Linked DNA regions of Drosophila melanogaster. The protein of the gene in region 1 purifies or fractionates together with the protein of each later gene. This does not show direct contact. Each region holds a gene or a part of one and is shown on either strand. Other genes may lie near its edges. The genes, in order: Hsp60A, CG4461, CG4949 and CG10214.

Region 1 (7,550 bases):
AATTTTTTGTCCATTTTTCGCAAAAAATTATGATTATAAAAAATCAGAAAATTCGAAAAAAAAAAAATTTTTTTTAATTATGAAAACGTTGACAGGAATCGTTTATTTGGATCATAAGTTTTATAAAACAGTAATTTTTTTGAATGTGTGACCATTTTTGGCCAAGTTATAGGATTTTAAATTCTTCGAAAAAATCATAATTTCGGCTAAATGAATCCCCAATTTTGCAACAAAAACTAATCCTTTTTTGTTCATAGCAATGAAGTTATTAATCCAAATACGGAATGTCATACTTCGTTGAACTCGTCACCAAATTCCCTTTCGAATGGCATTCACAGTTTAAAATGTAAATTTTTGTCCATTTTTCGCAAAAAAATTAAGATTATAAAAATCGGAAAATTCGAAAAAAAAAATTTTCCAGAAATAAATATACGAATTTCGGGATCGTTTATGTGGATCATAGGCTGCACAAAAAAGTCATTCTCTTGGTTGTGTGATCGTTTTTGACCGCGTTATAGCAAAAACTCCTCTAAAAATCTTCAATTGAATGTATCCCTCAGATCTTACGTACGCCCATATAGTCAGCATGTCGCCCTTCGAGAACACGCTGGTTTCCTACAATCTGCCGGGCAGCAAGATAGTGGAGGCCATGGAGTGGGCCCTGAGCAAAGTGGACCTCGAGAACGGGGTGACCGGATCGTACATCAATCTGCAGTTCTCGGGCATCCGGGCGAAGTACGACTACACGAAGCCGGTGGGATCGCGTGTCATATCCGTAACGATTCGTTGTGCGGACTGCGAGGTGCCCAAGTACGAGCCTCTGGTATCCGACAAGCTCTATCGCCTCACATCGCCCAACTTCCTGCAGGCTGGTGGCGATGGCTACACCATGCTCGCCGAGGGCACTGACCTCCAGTACGTACATACAGGCAGCTCATCTTGTGTCCCATGTTGTAATACCATTTGATTATTTACTGATTTCAGGTGGGGAGTCACGGACTTGGATGCCCTAATCTCGTACAGCAATCACATCAATCCCATTTACCAGGGCCTCGAGGGACGCATCACAGTGCTCAACTGATTATACATACATATGTATTATATCCATAATGTGCAATAATTGCATTTTCCACAATAAATTTATCAGGGAAAGTACACAAACATATCTTTTCTCTGGAAGATTATTGATGCTGGGGAATATGTTTGGAGGCAATGGTTGCATAATATAATCATATACCATTTAAAATCTCCCAAAGATGATATCGTTCTACAAGCCATGGTGCCTTGGCAACTCGAGATGAAACCCATTGCCGAGCGGACAGTGGGCCAGAGTCGCGTGAATCTCCAGCAGAGTCAGTGCAGCAGTGGGGAATGCAATCTGGGTAACTTCTTCACCGATGCTATGCTTCATGCGGTAAGTAGTGGTGGCTTCAACCCACTTGCAACTGACCTAGTCCAATGAGAATCTTCAGTTTGTCAAGGATGCTTCATCGTCGTCTGAAGAGAGTTGGAGTAACGTGACCATTGCCTTGACATCAACGGGAACTTTTCGAGTGCCTATTCCAGCTGGCAGTGAGTCCTGAAAACAACATGTATACCTTAATCGAACAATAAGACTAAGTATATCACTACAGACATCACCTACAAGCAATTGTTTGCCATGTGCCCATGGCAGAATAGACTGGTGACCCTCAGTCTGCGTGGTAAGCACATTGTGGAGCTGCTGGAGCATGTGGTGGCGCCCATGAATGCCAGTTCGGCCACGCCGCGTTCCTCCCGATTCCTCCAGGTTTCCGGTCTCCGTATCCGTTACGATTTGAACGCCGATCAGCGAGTATTCAGTGTGCGAGTAAGATGCTCCAAGTGCCTGGTGCCCAGGTATATTCCACTCGATTTGGAGCACAAGTACCGCGTGGTCGTCATGGAGTACCTGGCGAATGGGAAGAACGGATTTAGCGTAATCAGCGAAAATGCAGAAGATCCAGAGTAAGCATGTTAAACAATGTTGATTTTGAATAAAGTATTAAAAAGCTTTTTTTGCCAGGTTTGGTCCTTTCGACTTGGACGCCTTAATGGACTACATGAACTCCACCGGGCCAATTACGACTGCAATCGAGCAAAGGATTCAGTTTGTAACTACTTAGACTTTATAGTATGGTCGAAAAATGTAGTAAACCTATATAATAAAATATACATATGTATGGTTTCATTTTGAAAAAAAAAAACTTAGGCGCGAAACTATCGCTTTCCGCATCTAACATCTCTAGCATAACGTATAAAGCTTGCTGCGATAGTTATTCATTATTATATAATTGGATTATTAATAGTTGCGTTGGATTTGCATATTTGCTGTTAATACATTAATATATTAAATTGTTTTCTTTTCTATGGAAACCAGAAAACTTATTTATCGGCGAAAGCTCAATTTATTATAAATATTACTTGAATGCGAGTCCCCCATATGGCTGCCGATAATATTCGATTGCCCGACGCAAGCAATCGATAAGCGCCGGCTATTTTCGATGGCCAACGAATGGTCACACCGATACACATTAAGGTTAGGAAGTTCGGACCGCCTGTGCGCACATTTCGAAGCGAGTAAACTGTGGTGAAGTGGGCTTGTTGTTTCACATCAAATAGAATCGGAAGCGTTCGCTTAACTGTCTTGTCAATAATTCGCAGTACCAGTTTAATTCACAGTAAGTTCTAAACTTTTAAACAATTTCCAGAGCCATTCCCATTTGCCCAATTGCATTTCAAGTTTGTGTGCAAGTGTGTGTGTCCCATTGGCGATTATATAAGAGCGAACAATCTGGCCGATAGCCGGCAAATCGTGTTTCCAGAATGTTCTGTTCATTGATAACTGGAAAAGTAAACGATGTCTGCATTGTGCAGTAAATGATTACATTCCAACAAGAATTTATTAAATCCACCTCAAAACACACAAACACGCATACGGGCGCGCACATTGGAAAGCTGGTGGAAACTCAGTTGCACATGTTTTCCACTGCTTGCCGGCAATTTCACATTTATCAGACGGCATTGCATGTGCTGCTACTGCTTGCCCTGCTTCCTTTCTTTCTTTCCACTCTCGTTTGCGGAAATCTTTGATTCATTGAATAACATTCCCTCCCATTTTGGGAGCTACATATTAGTCTTTTGCCCAAGTGCTGGTTACATAAATCGTTTCTTCTGGAATGCTCGGTGCCAAGATGTTGTTCGTTCCCCGGGGGGTGGGGGTGGGCACTGGAATGAGGGGGCCTGGCCGGTACAGTGGAGCCTCGCTGCTGCAACGAATTAGTTTACATAATACTATCAGTAATACCTAAACTCATTGATTTGGTTTAATTTTTCAATTCAAAATAATGATGTTTATAAGGATGAGCAGAATCCATGTAAATATCTCATGTTGCCTGTGTTTTTAGAACTATTTCATCATTAAATTAGATAGAAACAATAGGTGATTACTGTTTAAATTCGTCTTATATTTTATTTTATTGTATTCACATTAATAACAACCTAAAAAAAAAACATTCTTTCTGCTTATGCAATTCTCACAGAGATATTAATTAGTTTATGTAATTTTCGAAAATTGTAATTTTTATAAACCGAAACTAGATGTATGTACATCTGTATTTATCTAATCCACGTGTTATATGCCATAAATTAGCTCAATGATTATGTTGATAATGAGTTTTTTGCATTGAGCTTTATTAAAAAAATGTATATTATTTTTTTTATAACTCTTTGAAAATTCCCAATTTTTGGAGCATTGTGCGTTTATGTAATTTCCATAAGTATCCGTGTAAATAACATTCCATTGGCTTTTGCTGTCAGTAATCTGAGAAGTTTACAGCTCTGATTATCGGAAAAGTCAAGCGAACTGCGTGTGTTAAACAGTGCTCACGCGTTGTATTCCCAATTTCACATTCAAGAACGAAGATTTTTGACCTTTGACCCGCTGGAAGCTTATCAACTAAGAAACTCCGGGGTAAACAACTCAAAGAAACCGCATCTTAGTTCTGCCCAAGGCGGAACACGTGCTTTGATTCATCTCTTGCTACCAGCCAGTTCTCATCATACCAATCCTCTCTGCTCTTCCACAGATGTTCCGTTTGCCAGTTTCGCTTGCTCGCTCCTCCATTAGCCGCCAGTTGGCCATGCGCGGCTATGCCAAGGATGTGCGTTTCGGACCCGAGGTGCGCGCCATGATGCTCCAGGGCGTCGATGTGCTGGCCGATGCTGTGGCAGTGACCATGGGCCCCAAGGGTCGCAATGTGATCATTGAGCAGTCGTGGGGCTCGCCCAAAATCACCAAGGACGGCGTCACTGTGGCCAAGTCCATTGAGCTGAAGGACAAGTTCCAGAACATCGGTGCCAAGCTGGTCCAGGATGTGGCCAACAATACCAACGAGGAGGCCGGTGATGGCACCACCACGGCCACCGTTCTGGCTCGCGCCATTGCCAAGGAGGGCTTCGAGAAGATCTCCAAGGGCGCCAATCCCGTCGAGATTCGTCGCGGTGTCATGCTGGCCGTTGAGACCGTCAAGGACAACCTTAAGACCATGTCGCGCCCCGTTAGCACGCCCGAGGAGATCGCCCAGGTGGCCACCATCTCGGCCAACGGTGATCAGGCCATCGGCAATCTCATCAGCGAGGCCATGAAGAAGGTGGGACGCGATGGCGTTATCACCGTCAAGGATGGCAAGACCCTCACCGATGAGTTGGAGGTTATCGAGGGCATGAAGTTCGATCGCGGCTACATCTCGCCGTACTTCATCAACTCCTCGAAGGGCGCCAAGGTGGAGTTCCAAGATGCCCTCCTCCTGCTGTCCGAGAAGAAGATCTCATCGGTGCAGAGCATCATTCCCGCTCTGGAGCTGGCCAATGCGCAGCGCAAGCCGCTGGTCATCATTGCCGAGGATATCGATGGTGAGGCCCTGAGCACCCTGGTGGTGAACCGCCTCAAGATCGGCCTTCAGGTGGCTGCCGTCAAGGCACCCGGCTTCGGCGACAACCGCAAGAGCACCCTCACCGATATGGCCATCGCCTCCGGCGGCATTGTCTTCGGCGATGATGCTGATCTCGTCAAGCTGGAGGACGTCAAGGTTAGCGATTTGGGCCAGGTCGGCGAGGTGGTGATCACCAAGGACGACACCCTGCTGCTGAAGGGCAAGGGCAAGAAGGACGATGTGCTCCGTCGCGCCAATCAGATCAAGGACCAGATCGAGGACACCACCTCCGAGTACGAGAAGGAGAAGCTGCAGGAGCGTCTGGCCCGCTTGGCCTCCGGCGTTGCCCTGCTGCGCGTTGGCGGCTCCAGCGAGGTGGAGGTCAACGAGAAGAAGGATCGCGTCCATGATGCCCTGAACGCCACCCGTGCTGCCGTCGAAGAGGGAATCGTTCCCGGAGGCGGCACCGCTCTGCTGCGTTGCATTGAGAAGCTCGAGGGTGTCGAGACCACCAACGAGGATCAGGTACGATTATCTATCTCTCTTTTCTGTTATTCGTGTATTAATGTCTATGAAATCTCATAACAGAAACTCGGCGTGGAGATTGTGCGTCGTGCCCTGCGCATGCCATGCATGACGATTGCCAAGAACGCCGGCGTTGATGGCGCCATGGTGGTGGCCAAGGTGGAGAATCAGGCCGGTGACTACGGCTACGATGCGCTGAAGGGCGAATACGGCAACCTGATCGAGAAGGGCATCATCGATCCCACCAAGGTGGTGCGCACCGCCATCACAGACGCCTCCGGTGTGGCCTCACTGCTGACCACCGCCGAGGCTGTCGTCACCGAGATCCCCAAGGAGGATGGCGCTCCTGCCATGCCCGGCATGGGTGGTATGGGCGGCATGGGAGGCATGGGCGGCATGGGTGGCATGATGTAAGCGACTGCCACTGACTGGTCGACAGCCGGAGAGGGGGAGGGAGATGTGATGAGAACCGAAACCAGCATACTGTTTAAGTCACGATGTGGAACGATGACGTCGCGTGGTCGGCGGCGAAAGCAGCTCATCAGTTATCAGTCATCAGCAGTCGGAGCGAGACCCACCAATATCTCTTACATCGGTGCATCCAGCCGGAGACACATCACCCACCATTTGACACGCATTCTAATCCTTGATGGAACTTTGTTTTGCTTCGCATTTATCCTTTGGCAAGAGCAGCGCAACATCAGCACACAAATCCAACACAACCGGCTGGGTGTGAGCTCGTCGAGACTGCAGCGTTCGCTCCGCCACACGCCGTCGCCTCCATTGTGCTCCACGTTTTTTTAACTATTCCTTAACTCTATTTTTTTTTACATGTTATATATGTAAAGATACCGCTAGTTGTAAAATATATTAAATAAATCCGAAGTTAAATTGAGGAAAAACCTGGACGGCTTGTATCTCTGGCGGTTCGCTACTGGGTTACTGGCATCCCAAATGAGAAGATCGGTCGTCCGCTTTGAATTGTTGTGCTCAAATTTATATTTGTTGCTCTTTCGCTTTTTTGTTTCTTTTGTTTATTAATTATAAATACATTTAATAAAAAAAACCTAAATAATGTAACGCTTAGATGTTTAAAAGAAAGAAAAATATGTTGCATATACTCCGCATACGGTTAATGGGTGCGGGGCCAGGAGGTGGCCTCTGCCAAGTGGGTGCTCCCGCTGCCGCTCCTACTCCAGCTGATCCCGATCCCGAACCAGATCCTGATCCTGATCCTGATCCCCTCCTGGCGCCGGCGTTAACGATTAACGATGACACAATGGCAGTACGTATGTGATCGATGGCGGCGATGGGTCGTCGGCTGCCCGCGCCGACTCCGCCCCTCGAGGCCTATGGCTATGACTTGTCTGGCGGGAGGAGACTGTGCTGTGCTCCTACGCCAGCTGTTGCTACGTCTGGTGACGCTGCTCCACCCACTCCTAGCACTTGCGCTTTGGCGTGCGCCGCTTGACACCGCAGTTGTCCACCTTTTTGCTGCCCTTGGCGATGGCCAGCAGCTTCACGAGCTTCTTGTGCGAATCGCCCACGATCCAGCCGTGCTTCTGGTACGTCTCGTTCTCCTCGAAGTGTTTACCCGGCGACGGTGACGCCTCCTCCGGCTCCAGTTCCGTTCGTTCGCCATCCCGCTGCTCGCTGCCAGCTCCAGCGCCGCGGGATTCACCGTCAGCGGCCTCCGTCTCGTCGTCCAGGCGTCCGAACTCATCGTCGCTGGAGCTGCTCCAGTAGTACAGCTGCTTCTCGCTGGCTGGCCGCTTTCTGCGCGCCGGCGACTGGCGGCTGGTCTGCGATTTTCGCTTGGCCTTCAGATTCTTATTGCTGCTGCTGCTGTTGTTGTTGTTATTGGTGGTGCTGCTGGGGGTGGCGACAGAGCTACTCCGCGGATGCGGTGCAGGCGGCAGTGTCTGCTGCTGATTGCCGTGCTGCCGCACCTTGCTCCTCTCTCTTTGCGCTTCCGGTGCAGCTGCGGGCAGTGGTGGTTGTGCTGGTGGCGGTGGTGTTGGCGCTATTGGTTCCTTCTCCGTTTCATTGGCCTTCACCTTAGGCTGCTGCCTG
Region 2 (4,505 bases), on another chromosome or scaffold:
TGCTTACAAGTCAAACAAGTTCATTCAACTTAACCAAAGAAAAAATATTTCAATCTCGCAAAAGGAACATAACCTAAAGGAAACGTAAAAATGTCGCTATCTACTCTGCTTTCGCTTGTGGATGAACTCCAGGAGCCCCGCAGCCCCATCTACGAGCTTGGACTGGGATTGCATCCGCATTCCCGCTACGTGCTGCCCCTTGGCACTCAGCAGCGCCGTTCCATCAACGGATGCCCTTGCGCATCGCCGATATGCCCATCGTCGCCCGCCGGCCAGGTTTTGGCTTTGCGGCGCGAGATGGCCAACCGCAACGACATTCACTGGCCGGCAACCGCCCATGTGGGCAAGGATGGATTCCAGGTGTGCATGGACGTCGCCCAGTTCAAGCCCAGTGAGCTCAACGTGAAGGTGGTGGACGACTCCATCTTGGTCGAGGGCAAGCATGAGGAACGCCAGGACGACCATGGTCACATCATGCGCCACTTTGTGCGCCGCTACAAGGTTCCCGATGGCTACAAGGCGGAGCAAGTGGTCTCGCAGCTGTCGTCGGATGGCGTGCTCACCGTCAGTATTCCCAAGCCGCAGGCCGTCGAGGACAAGTCCAAGGAGCGCATCATTCAAATTCAGCAAGTGGGACCCGCTCACCTCAACGTTAAGGCAAATGAAAGCGAGGTGAAGGGCAAGGAGAACGGAGCACCCAACGGCAAGGACAAGTAAAGGAGCCATCATCATCCAACATCATCCATCATCATTCCCCTACTTAATTGTTCCTAATTTATTGCATTGTATTTGTAATGAGCTAAAGACTAGAATACTCATATTAATTTAATAAATCCTTTTGTTCACCTGGTGTGGAAAATTAAAATTGTTGTGACTTTTGTATATGAAAGTTGGTTTTTGAAAGAGGCAAATATTTGGAAATATCGATTTGAAGATTTGAATTGGGCGCGACGAGGTGAAGACCCATTCGTAAACACCAGTGTTTCTACCAAATATTTATTGCGCATTTATTATATCAACTACGGGTACAATTTGTATTTTATTTATGTTTGAATCCAATTTAAATGTTCGGCTGCAATTGCTTGGTGTCCGAAAATAGTTCACCTTGAGTTAGGCGCATTCGATGGTTGGGATTTGGGTTTGGTAAAAACACATTCACTGTTTGCCTTCCTGATTTTTGACACATGGTCCACTATTTCCAGGGCAGGGCCAGCTTTCCGGTTTCATGAACGCGGACCAATCTCTCTCCGGGCGTGTAGTACTTGGCTGGCGGCGGTGGTGGAGCCTTGATGGTGAGGATGCCATCGCTGGATATGTCCGAGATTACCTCATTGGCATTGTATCCGCGGGGCAGAAGGTACTTCCTCACAAAGTGCCGCTCCACCAGGCCATTGGAACCCTCGTCGCGACGATTGTGATTTCCCTGGACGATGACATAGTCGTCATTGGTTTTGACCACAATGTCGTGGGGATGAAATTGTCGCACATCGATGTCAATCCGAAATCCCTTCTCATCCACATGGACACGCTCACCGGAATAGTAGTTGTCCCACCTCATTGGATGCGCCCACTCATACGGCGTCGATTGGATCAACTGGTTGCGCACTCGACGCGACACCAGCTCATCCAGAGGTCGGAGTAGGTCACTTCTGCTGGTGTGAGGCGATGGCCACCAGAGACGCGAATCGTCCCACAGATACGGATATAGCTGGAAATCATACGGCGGATGGTAGAGCGGACGGAGTCGATCAAATTCGCGCGACAAATCGCGATATGTGGTAGGCACCAGAGACATTTCTCGCCGGGATTAGGGCAGCGATTCGCTTATGTACGAGTCCGAAAATCTTATAAAATTTGTCGCCGCCGCCGTCAGTTCTTTTATAGATGGCCGACTGGCCTCGCCGGATGCGGATTGCGGATGGCGGATGATGGCGGAGACGATAGATGAGTCATCCGGACGAGGCGCATCGGATGGGATCGAAACGAATCGGATCGGATCGGCCAAGTGCAGCGGTGAAGGCGAGGCCAACGAGGTGCACACGACAATATAAACGGCCAGTTGGACCCGCGTCAAGTGGCTACGTCACTAGAATCATCGAAGGAAGCGGAAAAAGATGCTACATGACCAAGGTGTCAGACGAATGCAAACAAAATGGAAAGTATTTTTGGGGCTTTTAAATTGTATCTCCATCTAAGGCAATCATTAGATCTTCGAATGGATCCATTTTCATGACTTGACAGATACATATAAATTATATATAATAATCTATAATACTATCCATATCAAATGTGTTCCCAGTGAAAGAAATATTTTGATCATATAGTCTTTTCGAATATTTATTTTCTTCTACATAAAAATATTGGGCTTGCGGGCTACCGAATCACAATTGTTTTAAAATTAACTTGTTAATTTAACAAGAACTTAAATTTGATAGGTTTTGGAATATCTAAACATAGGAGTTCACTAGCATTTTATCGGTTTTAGTATAATCTTAACTTATTTCTACTGACTGGCGGCTTTGTCATTTGGCTCCTCGGCGGACTTCTTTGCCGGCTCGCCAGTCTGCTCGATGGTCACCTCACGCTCCTTGAGTGTCTCCTGCACGCCTGGAGGATTGGGCACACTGATGGTCAGGACGCCGTCGCTGCTCAGCGTTGAGGTCACCTTGTCCGCCTCGTATCCTTCCGGCAGGACGAAGCGGCGGAGGAAGTGCCTGGAGCTATAGCCACCTTGTTCGGCCTCCTGCTGCTCTGATTTTCCCTCCACCAGGACAACGCTCTCGTCCAGCACCTTGACCTTTAGCTCGCTGTAGTCCTTGACGTCCAGGGTGAGTTTGTAGCCATCCTTGTTGACGGTGGCCGGCGGAGCGAACTCCTGCTCCTGCCAGCGGGCAATCTGCTGCCAGTTCCTCGGTAGCGCCACACTCCAAACGGGCGGCTCGTGGAAGAAGGCGTGAAAGGGCGAGGAGAGGCGTGGCATCCGTGCCATCTCCTCGGCCATGCGCCAAAACATCGGTAAGGAACGCATTGTAGTTAATAAGGTAACTTGGTTTTTCCAACAAAAGCTTCTTATGCAAATTCGAATAATTTGATGAAATTCCGTCCAATTGTTGTCTTTGAAATACTTCTTGGCTTTTTTTTAAATTTTTCCTCTATGTTTCGAAGATAATCTTGTTGTCTGAAGTTTCAATCCTATGAAATTTCTATTTAGCTGGCGAAATTTTAATTTAGTTGACTTTCTTCGAGTTGTTAGCAGTTGGTTTGGTTTTTTTGAACTGAGAGCGCAGTGTCCAACCGGTGGCTATTTATACTCTTGGCAGAGAGGAAATCCATATAATCTAGAAAATACCGGCACTCTCTCGAATTTTCTTCGCCCTTTGCTGATGCAATTTTCCACTTTGCCTGAAATCGGGCAATGGCATTTAGTTAGGGGTTGTTCACTGTTCTTTAGCGAACTCCGTGGAAGTTTCTGGGGCTCTCTGGGTGTCCAAATATTACTTTATTTACCTTTTATTTTAGCATTTAGCGAAGTTCTCTCTCGCTGTTGCGCCTTGGGGAAGGTCAGTTTCCATACGCAGAGAGACAGATTGAGAGAGCTCCATTAGAGAGTGGGAGAGAGAAAGTTTTGTGGGAGTGCACAGCTTTCTGAGTGCGAGTGTATACGTGTGTGTATTGATAAGCTTGCCATGGGTGTAGTCAAGAACTTGAGATATATGAAAAATACAGCTTAATATTAACAAATAATTAAAGTTTTCTGTTTTTTTTAGCTATTAATAATTAATTAATTAATTAATATTAATCTTCATTTATTCAGAAATATAGCGACGTTTATCGTCAAAGTCCCTCCTTTTGAGCCCATTCATTCCAGGAGCCTTTGTAGATCACCACACTAAAATGAGCATACATATATGTATCCGATATAAACTATTGCAACTATAATACAATTTTAAAACTCACTTGCTGTATCCCTGACTTTTGGCAATTTTCTCTGCTTCCAAGACTCGATTTCCCGACCGGCAGGTGAATATGATTGGCGACTGCTTCTCCGGCTTCGATCTTCCGTACTTGTTTTTAAAAGCAGATCCATCCAGATTTAGAGCCTTGTCCAGTTCATCCACTAAGTAAATAAATAGTAATAAAACACATAGTAATAAAGCAAATACTAGGGAAAGTAGTTTATTACAGGGTATATTGATGCTGGCTGGAATGAAGCCCGTCTGCTGGAGCTCTTCCTTCCGTCGAACGTCGATAAGATACACATCCGGATGGTTGGGCACATCCTTAACCTGTTCGTACGTGGCCATTGTAGTTATGGGGCGGAGCACGAATTTCAACCGGTTCGCCAGCTGAATAACAACTGACTTGCCAGCTGGGCGCAGATGATCCATTTATGAGGTTCAAGATTAAAGATTCGGGTATGTACATATGTATGTGCGTACTTGCTTATCGCATTTTGATTATCGTGGTGTCGTCTTGTTTGTCCAGCTGACACTGGAGATTGCGCC
Region 3 (6,040 bases), 6.0 Mb from region 1:
ATATTGCCAACCATACTTTCGCTTACAGCCACGGGAGTGGTTTCAAAGCGCAGATTGCCCCCTGCGGGCTCATTGGATGTGGTTCTCGCCGAAGAGGTTTGGAACACTTCCACCATTTCCTCCGATATCCGCGTACTGTCCGAATCCCTGGCTTCAGCACTGAAGACCAAGCTAGCGTGTTGTCCATGCACCGCCGATCCCCGGGGACTGGCCGACTCCGGAATGACCATAACCCCCGGATTTACTTCTGACACTTCCGATGCGCCGGATTCTCTTAGTGGTACGATTGGTGCTCCACCTTCTTCTGGATTTTCGGTAACTTGTAGGCTGTGCGGAGCTCTTGCGATGCGAGAAACTCTTCTGAGTCGTTCGCCCAGAAGGGATGTCATGGTTGGTGCTTTATTACCGTCCGGCTGGAGGAGTAACGCTTTGGCGGTGGCAGGCAATGATGAGCCACTGTCTTCCTCTACTCCTCCTCCAACTGAAGAGTTTGATTTGGAGCACACGTATTTACGCGAGGACTTTCGGGGTCTTCGCCTCTCCATTCTGATCTTGGTCCAACTGGAGGAGAAGTGGCAAGCTGTAAAGGTCTAAAGTATACACTATCGATTTCTGGGTCTACAAATATACTGACTAACGGACTGACAAAGGGATAACTAATGTAATTTGAGTTGGGGAAAAGCGGCTACGTTGATCGGTTGAACAACGTATTTATTTTCTTAAGAGAATTAATATTTATTAACATTTATTTCATATGCATTATGTAAAGTTATGTATAAAAATAACCCATAAAACGTTTACTCAACAGAAAGCAACGAGGACGTGGAGTTCATCCGGAACACCACATGGTACATAATGCCGGTCCTGAATCCGGACGGATATGCGTACAGCCACGAGTACGATCGTTTCTGGAAGAAGTCGCGATCTCAGCACCAGACTCCACCTCCCAGTGGCCTCCTCGACTCGGCGATGACATGGCTCCAGCAAAAACGGGGTCCGGATAAGGTCTGCTACGGGGTGGACCTGGACAGAAACTGGCTGTATCATTGGGGCAAACGGGGTAGCTCCAAGGCACCCTGCAATGAGTTCTACGCCGGTCCAGCGCCATTTTCTGAACCGGAAACCAAGGCAGTATCTGAGTTCCTTATGGACTATAGGACGCAGATAAAGGTATGCTTAGAACAATATATAATTTTTATATTAACTCTCTAAAATAGATATATTTTTTGATTTATTAACTTTATTCATTATTTTTGCAGCTTTACATTTCCCTACAGGCCTATGGTCAGGTGATATCCTATCCGGTCAAGGCCAATTCCACTTTCAATTCAGAAAGATTGGATGATTTTCTGGACGTGGCGATGGTGGGTACCGATGGATTGCGCAAAAAGGGTAGTAAGTCCCGATATAAGGTCGACGCATCCAACGATCTAATTGAACAGCGATCGGGTGCGTAATATTTATATTATTTGCTTCGAAGTAGAATATAATAGAGATCTTTATCCGACCTTGCCAATCCTTTGGCTTCCTTGATTTATCCAGGCTGTGCGGACGCTTTTGCCGCCTACGAGATCGGAATTCCCTTCAGCTACACGCTCCAGCTGGCGGACAACGGAGTGCACGGTTATCTGCTGCCCAGCAGCGCCATTGAGCCCACGGCTCGGGATGCCTTTGAGATCATAAGCGGCATGCTGGACTACATATGAGGCTGGGATGCGGAGATCGGATTCCAATCGAAGACGAAGGCAGCAGGGATTTGGGGTGGGGCTACATGTGAATGAGTTTTAGTTCCTTTTAAACGGGCTTTGGTGGCTTGCGTTCCGGAGATCACTAGCCGTATTTCCGGAATACATTCTCCAATACTTTTAGCTGCATTTACGTATCTTATGCATTCGAAATTTTTTTTTTATTTCATATAAATTCCCTTAAGTTGAGATTTCCGTTTAGCATAATAAATATTATTGTTATATGTATGTATATTATAATTAATTATCAGCAATTTTTTTTTGGTAGTTTTAATCCCTTTTAGACTAAATAGTATACTATAATAAAGTCTTATATTTGATCGAGCATTCGATTGCTTCGCTTTCGTATAACATTTTGCATGGATGCCATGTAGGGAGATATTTTCAACGTACAGTATTTCTTAAGTTCTTGCCAAATGTACGCACTGTCTTAGTATTATATGCGGATATAATATAGCGTGCCTTGCCTTTTATAAATTCATTTTCTTAAATATTCGACCGTTCCCCATTTGGATATCTTTTGGGAAGGCAATATGAATAGCTTTAAGTCAATAAAATGGAAATGCAGTCTTAATAACTCGAAATTCGTTCGAGATTGGAAAATTCGTTCCAGCTTTGAAAATATTCGTCTAACCTGACAAAATGCATGTTTTAATAATGCATAAGGTAAACGTTCTAAGTAAGTATTGTTTGAAAAGCAAGAGCATACGGCGAATAACTACAATACTGCCAGCTATGATTAAACTCAGGAACTGGTTACCAAGGCACTGTAGTGGCTCCAAACTTCTGTCCTTCGTCTAGGCGAATCTCTGGGAGACCATGATCTTGGCCGAGAGCTTGGCAAAATTCGTGTGGCACTCGTTGCCGTGGAAATAGAGTCCAATAAGCAGCTTGAACTGGGCTGCTGACATGGGATACGGTTCCTGCGACATGACCACAATGGTGTCGATGCTTTTGCCCGCCTTCTGTTCCGCCAGATTGGCCAGGATTTCGCGGTAATTCACAAAGGATGCGGAGCACTTGGCAATTTGCCGGACCATTTTGTTCGTGGAGCACTGCTGCATCACAGGACGCAGTAGTGCATCCAAAACGAGCGACTGCAGATCAAAGACTATCAAATCGGGACTGCGCAAGGATTCGGCGCTATCCTGCATTTCCAGCATGCGAAGCGGGGTGCTCTCCACATCCACCAGTTGCAGAATGGTCAGGTATTTGCTGCAGTTATGGGCCTCCCATGGATAGCGCTTTGCCATTCCCTGCTGGCGACTGGTGATCAGTAAGACGCGCTTTTCTTTGGTGGCAAAGCGTTCGCATAGCTAAAAGAAATGCAATTTGATGTTCAAAAACCGACCTGAATCCGATGTTCAGAACTTACCTTTGCCAAATTAAGGGCGTAATCCTCACTGCCCGTCAAATATATATAGTTATTGTTGCAGTCGCTCAAACTCATTCCTTAAAAATGCTTACAAATTAAACAATATATATTTAAGGAATTCTAAAATTCTTCTGCCGCTATTATCGGTATCGGGATGAGTTTTTAATAGAGGTGCCGAAACATCGATGCTAATATCGATGCACCGAGGTTTTTTTTTAAATATTCCAAACATCGATGCTTATTTCAGACTATCGATGTTTTTAGGTTAATCACTAGAATTTCTTCAACTATTTTAATTAATTCAAATAATTAATTACTTTCAAATATTAGCTTGCAGTCATATATATTTTGGGTTTGTGGTGAAACTGACGCAAGTCGATGGACAACTTCGTCGGAGTCGGAAAGGGCATTTAGCAAAGCAGGTCAAATAATTATTATTACCAGTTATACCACCTTAAGATCTTGCATATGAAAAGAAATCTCATTGTTTTTCAGTTTGAATTATCATTCTTTGTTCTTTTGTTTTATATTAAATTAAAAAATTATTGAATTTAATAATATGCAAATGCTTTTTCTTATTTCTCAAGTGTAAATATGTATATATAATTTTTTTTAAAAAACATATAATTTTTAAGTCGGCTTATCGAGAAACAATACATCCGATAGGAATACCCTTGAGCAGTGTGCCCGAAATGATTATGCGATACTATCGAAATGATGTTGTGCAATATATGATAAATTAATATAAACTATCTATATCTAAAACTATTTCAGTATCATCGAAAGTTTATAAAGATCAGCTATTGCGTATATACATAATATGTACAATAACAAAAGTCAAATTAAAAGTTAAAAGTTAAAAGTTATGTTTTTATATATATATTTATTATTTAACAGTAACCAAAAAAGAATTTAAATGCGAACCTAGTTGGCATCCCCGGCTACAGAGTGACCATTTTGCAATCCGTCCAACGCCTAGCGGTGTCAGGCACTAAAAAATACCACAAACGGGGCGCCACCTAGAGTCCACCATATCAACCAGCCAATTGGCACATATAGCCGAACTCTTCTCGCACCCGCATAGCGTGCCGCGCGAGAGGGATAGCCGCACGCAGCGACCGATTGCTGGCAAACTCAACACAGCCGTGCCGACGAACAGACCGCACAAAGCGTAATGCAAAAGAATTGAAAAAAATCATCAAGTATAGAGGCCAAAAAGCGAACACAGCAAGTCGGCATATAATTAAACAATTGTCGTTCAATGCTGAGCAAATAAATGCGGCGATTGCAGCCCAGCAAAGAAGGCGAGCGGCAAATTGCGAATTGCGGTAAGGTACCAAGAAAAAAAGGGAGTAAAATTGAAAAGAAGTCAAACGAAATACGGATCAAGCGACACCACACACACATGCACAGACGCACGCACACAGTCACTCACGGTCGTGCACGCAGAGGCGAATGCCGTGTGTGCTTTAAGTGAAAAATTAAAGGCGTTCCGAATGCTAATTGCATTAAGGAGAGGACAAAAAGGAAGCTGTCTAAAGGATTGCTATGAATGTTTGTACTTTTAGGAGGCAGCAAAATAAGCCGATAATAAGGCGACCGCAATTCAGGCACACATATACGCCACACAAACACCGAGTCAGCGGGCCACACAGACGAAAAGCACACACACACACATGCCACTGAGAGCCTCCCATACAAGCAGACCACAACACACACACACACACATACAAGCGAGCGTGCCTTGGCAGGTGAGAAGAAGAAGAGGAAGCGGTGGAGGCAAAAGGAGGAGCAAACAGGAGGCGCCAAAGGCCCCAGAATATTGGATAAAATCGGAATAAGGCTGCATTATCTTCTCCACGAGAAGAGGAAGCAGCAGCAGCACTACCAGCAACAGCAGTCGACGAAGGAGAAGAGGAAGCAGACGCATAAGCAGCAGCAGCAGCAGCAGCAGCGGAAGAAGCAGCAGCAGGAGGAGGAGCAGGAGAGAGAGGGAAAACCAACAGAAGCAGCAGCAGCGTATTTGGCGAAAAACTTGCATTGATGGTAATGCATGCTAGAAAACCGCAGCGTATGAACGATGGGTAATATATCAAATATTATTTTCAATCTACCGTAATATCGGCAATAACAGTGATTCCCAACGTACTCACAATCACACACACACAGGCAAACTAGCACACTCATAATTGTATATTTTTTTGTTTACGTTCTGTCCTACTGCCATCTCGCTCTAACTCGCAGTGCCCGCGTTTCCTTTTTATCCTCAAATTTTCTCCGTTTACCCTAATTAAGTGATTTTCGTAAATAAATTTGTTTTCCCTATGTTTCTTGCTTTGATTTTCCCACTTATCCATCTTCTCGCGCTATTCATGTTTTTCGTCTTTTCACCACACAATAGTTGCCTCTCGCTCGCACGCGCTCAGCTGGCAAAAGGCCAAAAAAAAAAAAATAGTTCTTGTAACATTTACAGTTGCTTATTGCACCGCAAAATTAGTTCATATCCATTGTTTATCAAACGCGTTTCGCTGTTTGTTTATTTACCATCGCTTTTTAGCCGGCTTTCGATTGTCCGTTAAACGCAGAGCAACTAAAATTAATGACTGTCAACAAATCAATGCCGGCAATTGATAAGCGCTTCTGTTGATAAAATAAAGCTCAATCGGAATTGGGAAATCGATTTACAATTGGCATTTATTTAGTGGGTTTAATATTTAAATTTGATTTTCTAACACAAACAAAGGGATTTAAAATAGAGAATTTGACAAAAATCGATTCAGGTCAGTGCGTTTAAAAGTGCGTTGTAAATAAGCTGAAATAGCTGGTTAACTTCGAAATATGCACTTTGTCATGTCATAAACATTGTTGTGTTTCCTTCAAACACTTGAATATTTTCCCTTAAATCATTACATATTTAGAG
Region 4 (4,539 bases), on another chromosome or scaffold:
GGCGGTCAAGCTCTTCGAGCCATCCATTCAGCGCCTGGACAACGTGATGTGCAAAAGCCTGGACATTCTGGAGCAGCGCATACCACTGGTCTATCTGCCGCCCGAAATGGTAAGTAGTCGGCTAGTAACTCCCCCCCATGCGCTGACAAAAGGGCATAATTCTCTGCTTGAAGATGTACTGGAACACCAAGGAGTACATGTCCGATCACCTGGTGCGTCCGGTTCTGAAACGCGCCGATTCTGTCAAGCAAATCGGTAATGCTGTCCTCGAGAGTCCACTTACCACTTATGCAGCCGAGCGCATTGATGGCGCTTTCACAGTCGGCGATAAGTTCGTGGACAAGTACCTGGTGCCCATCCAAACAGATCAGGATCAGACCGATGGTGAGTCCTGGTATCTCACATCTGGGTTAATCTTCAAACGCATGTTGGGGAATCTATTACATTTCATTTTATTTTAAACTGAAGTTCTTATATTTTGGCACTTTTACTAAACTAACTATTTATAATTCAAAATTGTTGTAGTGAAAAAATTGGTTTCGGCCCTGAATGATAACTTTTCGCCGATTCGACAACAATTAAACCGAATGTTTGGCCACAAAAGTTAGTATGCAAAATTACATATTTCTCCATATAACTAGAGATAATCAAAATCATATGAAAGATAGTTTAGTTTGCCAAAAGTTTTACATAAAAAGTAAGCGAAAGCAAGTGATTTGAAAAGTCAGCATCCAGGCAAATCACCTTAAGGTGCACTCATCTCATAGTTTATTTATAAATGCCCACGTTGTCGGGAAGGTTATCTCTGGGGAACGGCGGATTCATTGAAACCTGAAGCCAGAGAAAGTTGCGATAAGCTGAGCTCTGGCCGGAATTTGCTCTCTCATGCTCAAAAAAAATTGTATAAGACACTTATTCCGAGTATCCGCCTTGCAGGCCCACAGGAGGATGATAACGAGGCCGTGCCGGACGAGAGGGGCGCCATCAAGGCGATCCATCATGGTCAACGCTTCTCCCGCAAACTGAAGCGCCGCCTTACCCAAAGAACCATCGCAGAGGCTCGCGCCCTCAAAAAGCAGAGCAAGGAGGCGATCCACGTGCTCTTCTATGCCGCAGAATTGGTCAGTAAAATTCAGTAACCTATTTGCTTTAATTTTTGAGTATCATTTGGTAAAAAAAAAAACCATAAGATTACAGTAACCAATTCAAATTACTTACGAAATGATTACGCAATGTCTGTTTGTATTCTGGTGTACAACCGTAACCCAAATAACACTTTTAAACGAAACCCATTCCACAGATTGCCACCGATCCCAAGCAGGCCGTTCAAAAGGCCAAGGAACTGTGGGTCTATCTCAGTGCAGATGAACCCGAAAATCAAGCGAGGCCCGCCACTCTGGAGCAGTTGATTGTGCTACTGACCCGCGAATCGGCTAGGCGTGTGGTTCATCTAGTGAACTTCAGTGCTCATGTGGCAGCCAACATACCCAGGTTGGTAGATCCCGCCTCCATCCTTATCTTTCCATGTGAACCCCTTCGAACCAAACCTTACAGAAACCTGGCGCACACGACAACAGAGGTTGCCCACCATATTATCTATATCAACCACCGCATCATCACAATCTCACGGCTGGACAAGGTTAAAACCATCTCCAAAGAGGAAGCTGAATCTCTTTTCAAGCGCATGCTGGCGTTCTATGGTAGCCTTCAGGGCCTGACCAATGCCTACCTGGTAAGAAAGGATGTGATACTAGCAGTCAGACGGAAGATGATTATATATATTAAATATATTCGACAGGAGCGCGTGGCCAGCTTTCTATCCGGACGCATGGAGGCCGAGAAGGTGACGGGCAGCGATGGCGGCAATTCCAACCACCGGTCATCGCGGAGGAGGCAGGATCCGAACCATTATTCAGCCACCCACAATAACATCAACGGCGTCTACTAGCATTGAATTCTTTATTGCTATCGTATTTTTATTTCTGTTTCTCCGTGCATATACGGAAAATACACTAAACGATATTGTACATCTATTTTTAACATAATGCATTTGTCAATAATATAAGCCTAACTTCACGCTTAACAATACAACGCGGACTTTTATCCAAAATTATTATAGACTCATATTGCCAATAAAGCATTAGGTATTGAAAGAATTCCTAGGGTGCTTTAAATTCTTGCTTTAATTTATTTAAATAAGTTCGCTTTGTAATACGCAAGCTCTTTGATGCTTTCTCGGATGTCGTCCAGACTACGATGCGTGAAAGATTTTTTGGGAGCGGAATCCAGAATTGCGGGATGCCATCGCTTGGCCAGTTCCTTGATGGTGGACACATCGACGATGCGGTAATGCAGGTAAGCATCTACCAATGGCATGAATTTCATAATGAATAGTCGGTCGGTGTAGACGGAGTTCCCACCAAGCGGACAGGCGCGCTTTGGTATGTTCTTCTCGAGATAGGATAGCACTAGATTGGAGGCTTCTTCGAGATTCACATCCGAGCTCTTGCATCGATCAATAAGACCTGAATTGTAATGATGTTTCATGCACCACTCGTTCATCGAGTCGTAGACCTCCTGCGGATGGTTGATGGCAAAGCATGGTCCCTCCGACTTCACGTTCAGGTCCTGGTCCGTAATGATGCAGGCCACCTCGAGGATTTTGTCCTTTTCAATGTCCAGCCCGGTCATCTCCAAGTCCATCCACACGATGTCCGTGTCTAAGCCACAGGTGCTGCTCATTCTGTCATTTGAATTGAATGCGATGTGGCTCCGAATTTGGCGGTTCAGGGACAATCCGACGCGTCGAAGGTGAGCAAGCATATATAGCTGTAGCGCAGGTTTCTTTTTGCTAAATGTAAATATGCGGCGGTTTTACCATGTGTTTGATAACATGGTATCGTTACGATAACAACTGGTCACACTACAGGCACATTGCCCAACACTGAAAGGGGGATTCCTGTCATTACAGGAACAAAACAAATCGAATATTATGTTCATACCCAAATAATTGCAGAATAATTTGTTCAGCATTCTTATTTGTATCCACCAAAGTCGAAAGTAATTGTAATTAAAGTTAAAGGTTTTATGCGATAACGACTTGGAGCCATTTTAACTACAGCGAACGGTAATTTCTAACAAACCGCGCACGGTCACTCTGTCGAGTTGATATTTTTATCAAAAATTGTTGTACGGAAAACGCAAAAGGTGTCGTTATTGTTGCAGCATGTCCTCCTCGTCGGCCAGAGACCAACCGGGAACCTCCCATGACAACTTCGAGGAATTCTACACAGAAGTAAGTGTGGCGGACGGAACCGCAGGCTCAGTTTTTATTCTACACTGGGTCGGGCTCCTTGCACGGCAGCCGCTCCAAATAAACTAAACCCTTGTTATTATGTACACTTTAGTAAATGATTTTGTGCCTATATTGCAGGTGAAAGAAATTGAAAAACGTGATTCAGTTTTAACTCCTTCTCAACAAATTGATCGTTTACTTCGTCCAGGTTCAACGTACTTCAATCTCAATCCGTTTGAGGTGCTCCAAATCGAGCCCGAGGTCGAATTGGCGGATATAAAAAAGCGATACCGCACCTTGTCAATCCTCGTCCATCCAGACAAGAATCCCGACAACCAGGAGCGCGCTCAAATGGCATTCGATATTGTGTCGCGTTCCTGGAAAATCCTCGAAAACGAACTCACGCGCAAAAGGTGTCTGGAGGTGTACGAGGAGGCAAAGGGGCGAACGGATCAAATGGTGAGTTCCAGTTCCTCGGAGCATTAAGCTCTATGATCGTCCGGCTTTAGAATAATTGAAAATCCAATTGCAATGGCACATTTTCTTTATTGTACTGTATTATATTAATTTGTTCGTTACCTTTCAGATTGCAGAAAAGCGTAAAAAGCTTAAAAAAGAGGGTCGGCCCACTGAGCCAATACCCGAGGACGATCCCACCAAGTACAAGCACGCCATCTACGTTATGGTCATGAAACTGTTTGCCGACATGGAGCGTCGACGGCAAAAGCTCGACCAACGCGACCAGGAGGAGCGAAAGCGAAAGCGCGAAACGGAAATCGAGGAGGAGGAGCGGATAAAGGCGGACCGCGAATGGCAGCAGAACTTCGAAGAGTCGCGCCAGAGCCGAGTAAACAGCTGGCATGACTTTCAGTCGGGTGCCGGCAAGTCCAAGAAAGCCAAGAAACAAAAACATATGACCGGCATGATGGTTCCACCAAAATTTAAGCCCGAGTCGCGATAATATAGCTTCCCAGCGCGGCGCCGCTCCTTCACTATCGCCAGATCACCTCCGCCAAACCGCGTCGCGTTGCACATGAATATTTTTACATTTTTTTTATAAGTATCCTTTGGAATTGTAATTGACACGTGCATAAAATATAGATGTAAGAAACACATTTCCGTCTTGCCTCTTTCCTTCTACAATGGATGGCTTGGACCATCTCCTTCGATCACAGTTCTGTGTACAAGGATGCGGTGAAAACAATATCGCGCTTGATAGCAGCCGACGCCTCCTCCATCTTCGA

What was found.
Region 2: the proteins of Hsp60A (region 1) and CG4461 purify together in Drosophila melanogaster (affinity purification with mass spectrometry, with the first as the bait; one large-scale study listed by BioGRID). This does not show direct contact.
Region 3: the proteins of Hsp60A (region 1) and CG4949 purify together in Drosophila melanogaster (affinity purification with mass spectrometry, with the first as the bait; one large-scale study listed by BioGRID). This does not show direct contact.
Region 4: the proteins of Hsp60A (region 1) and CG10214 purify together in Drosophila melanogaster (affinity purification with mass spectrometry, with the first as the bait; one large-scale study listed by BioGRID). This does not show direct contact.

Annotation. Positions count from the first base shown.
Region 1 is NC_004354.4:11,105,935-11,113,484, forward strand, and holds Hsp60A (heat shock protein 60A), read left to right. Parts: upstream 1-2,547; 5' UTR 2,548-2,699; intron 2,700-3,868; exon of another isoform or gene 3,869-3,991; intron 3,992-4,106; coding exon 4,107-5,477; intron 5,478-5,540; coding exon 5,541-5,891; 3' UTR 5,892-6,374; downstream 6,375-7,550. Other genes in the region: CG42249 (uncharacterized protein), read left to right, coding at 1,257-1,414, 1,473-1,572, 1,635-1,986, 2,045-2,144; CG11122 (uncharacterized protein), read right to left, coding at 6,917-7,550. UniProt on the Drosophila melanogaster protein: Prevents misfolding and promotes the refolding and proper assembly of unfolded polypeptides generated under stress conditions.
Region 2 is NT_037436.4:9,372,774-9,377,278, reverse strand, and holds CG4461 (uncharacterized protein), read right to left. Parts: upstream 1,850-4,505; 5' UTR 1,796-1,849; coding exon 1,193-1,795; 3' UTR 986-1,192; downstream 1-985. Other genes in the region: Hsp26 (heat shock protein 26), read left to right, coding at 91-717; Hsp22 (heat shock protein 22), read right to left, coding at 2,504-3,028; CG4456 (uncharacterized protein), read right to left, coding at 3,835-3,889, 3,958-4,117, 4,184-4,304.
Region 3 is NC_004354.4:17,076,089-17,082,128, reverse strand, and holds CG4949 (uncharacterized protein), read right to left. Parts: upstream 3,290-6,040; 5' UTR 3,196-3,289; coding exon 3,121-3,195; intron 3,062-3,120; coding exon 2,543-3,061; 3' UTR 1,707-2,542; coding exon of another isoform or gene 1,543-1,706; 3' UTR 1,450-1,542; coding exon of another isoform or gene 1,260-1,449; 3' UTR 1,171-1,259; downstream 1-1,170. Other genes in the region: CG4955 (uncharacterized protein), read right to left, coding at 1-545; CG8945 (uncharacterized protein), read left to right, coding at 809-1,170, 1,260-1,449, 1,543-1,706.
Region 4 is NT_033777.3:23,764,576-23,769,114, forward strand, and holds CG10214 (uncharacterized protein), read right to left. Parts: upstream 2,914-4,539; 5' UTR 2,824-2,913; coding exon 2,188-2,823; 3' UTR 1,949-2,187; downstream 1-1,948. Other genes in the region: Lsd-1 (lipid storage droplet-1), read left to right, coding at 1-109, 174-384, 526-603, 937-1,121, 1,301-1,491, 1,555-1,732, 1,799-1,948; CG10375 (uncharacterized protein), read left to right, coding at 3,227-3,295, 3,434-3,754, 3,882-4,256; tst (twister), read right to left, coding at 4,465-4,539. UniProt on the Drosophila melanogaster protein: 3'-to-5' exoribonuclease specific for small oligoribonucleotides.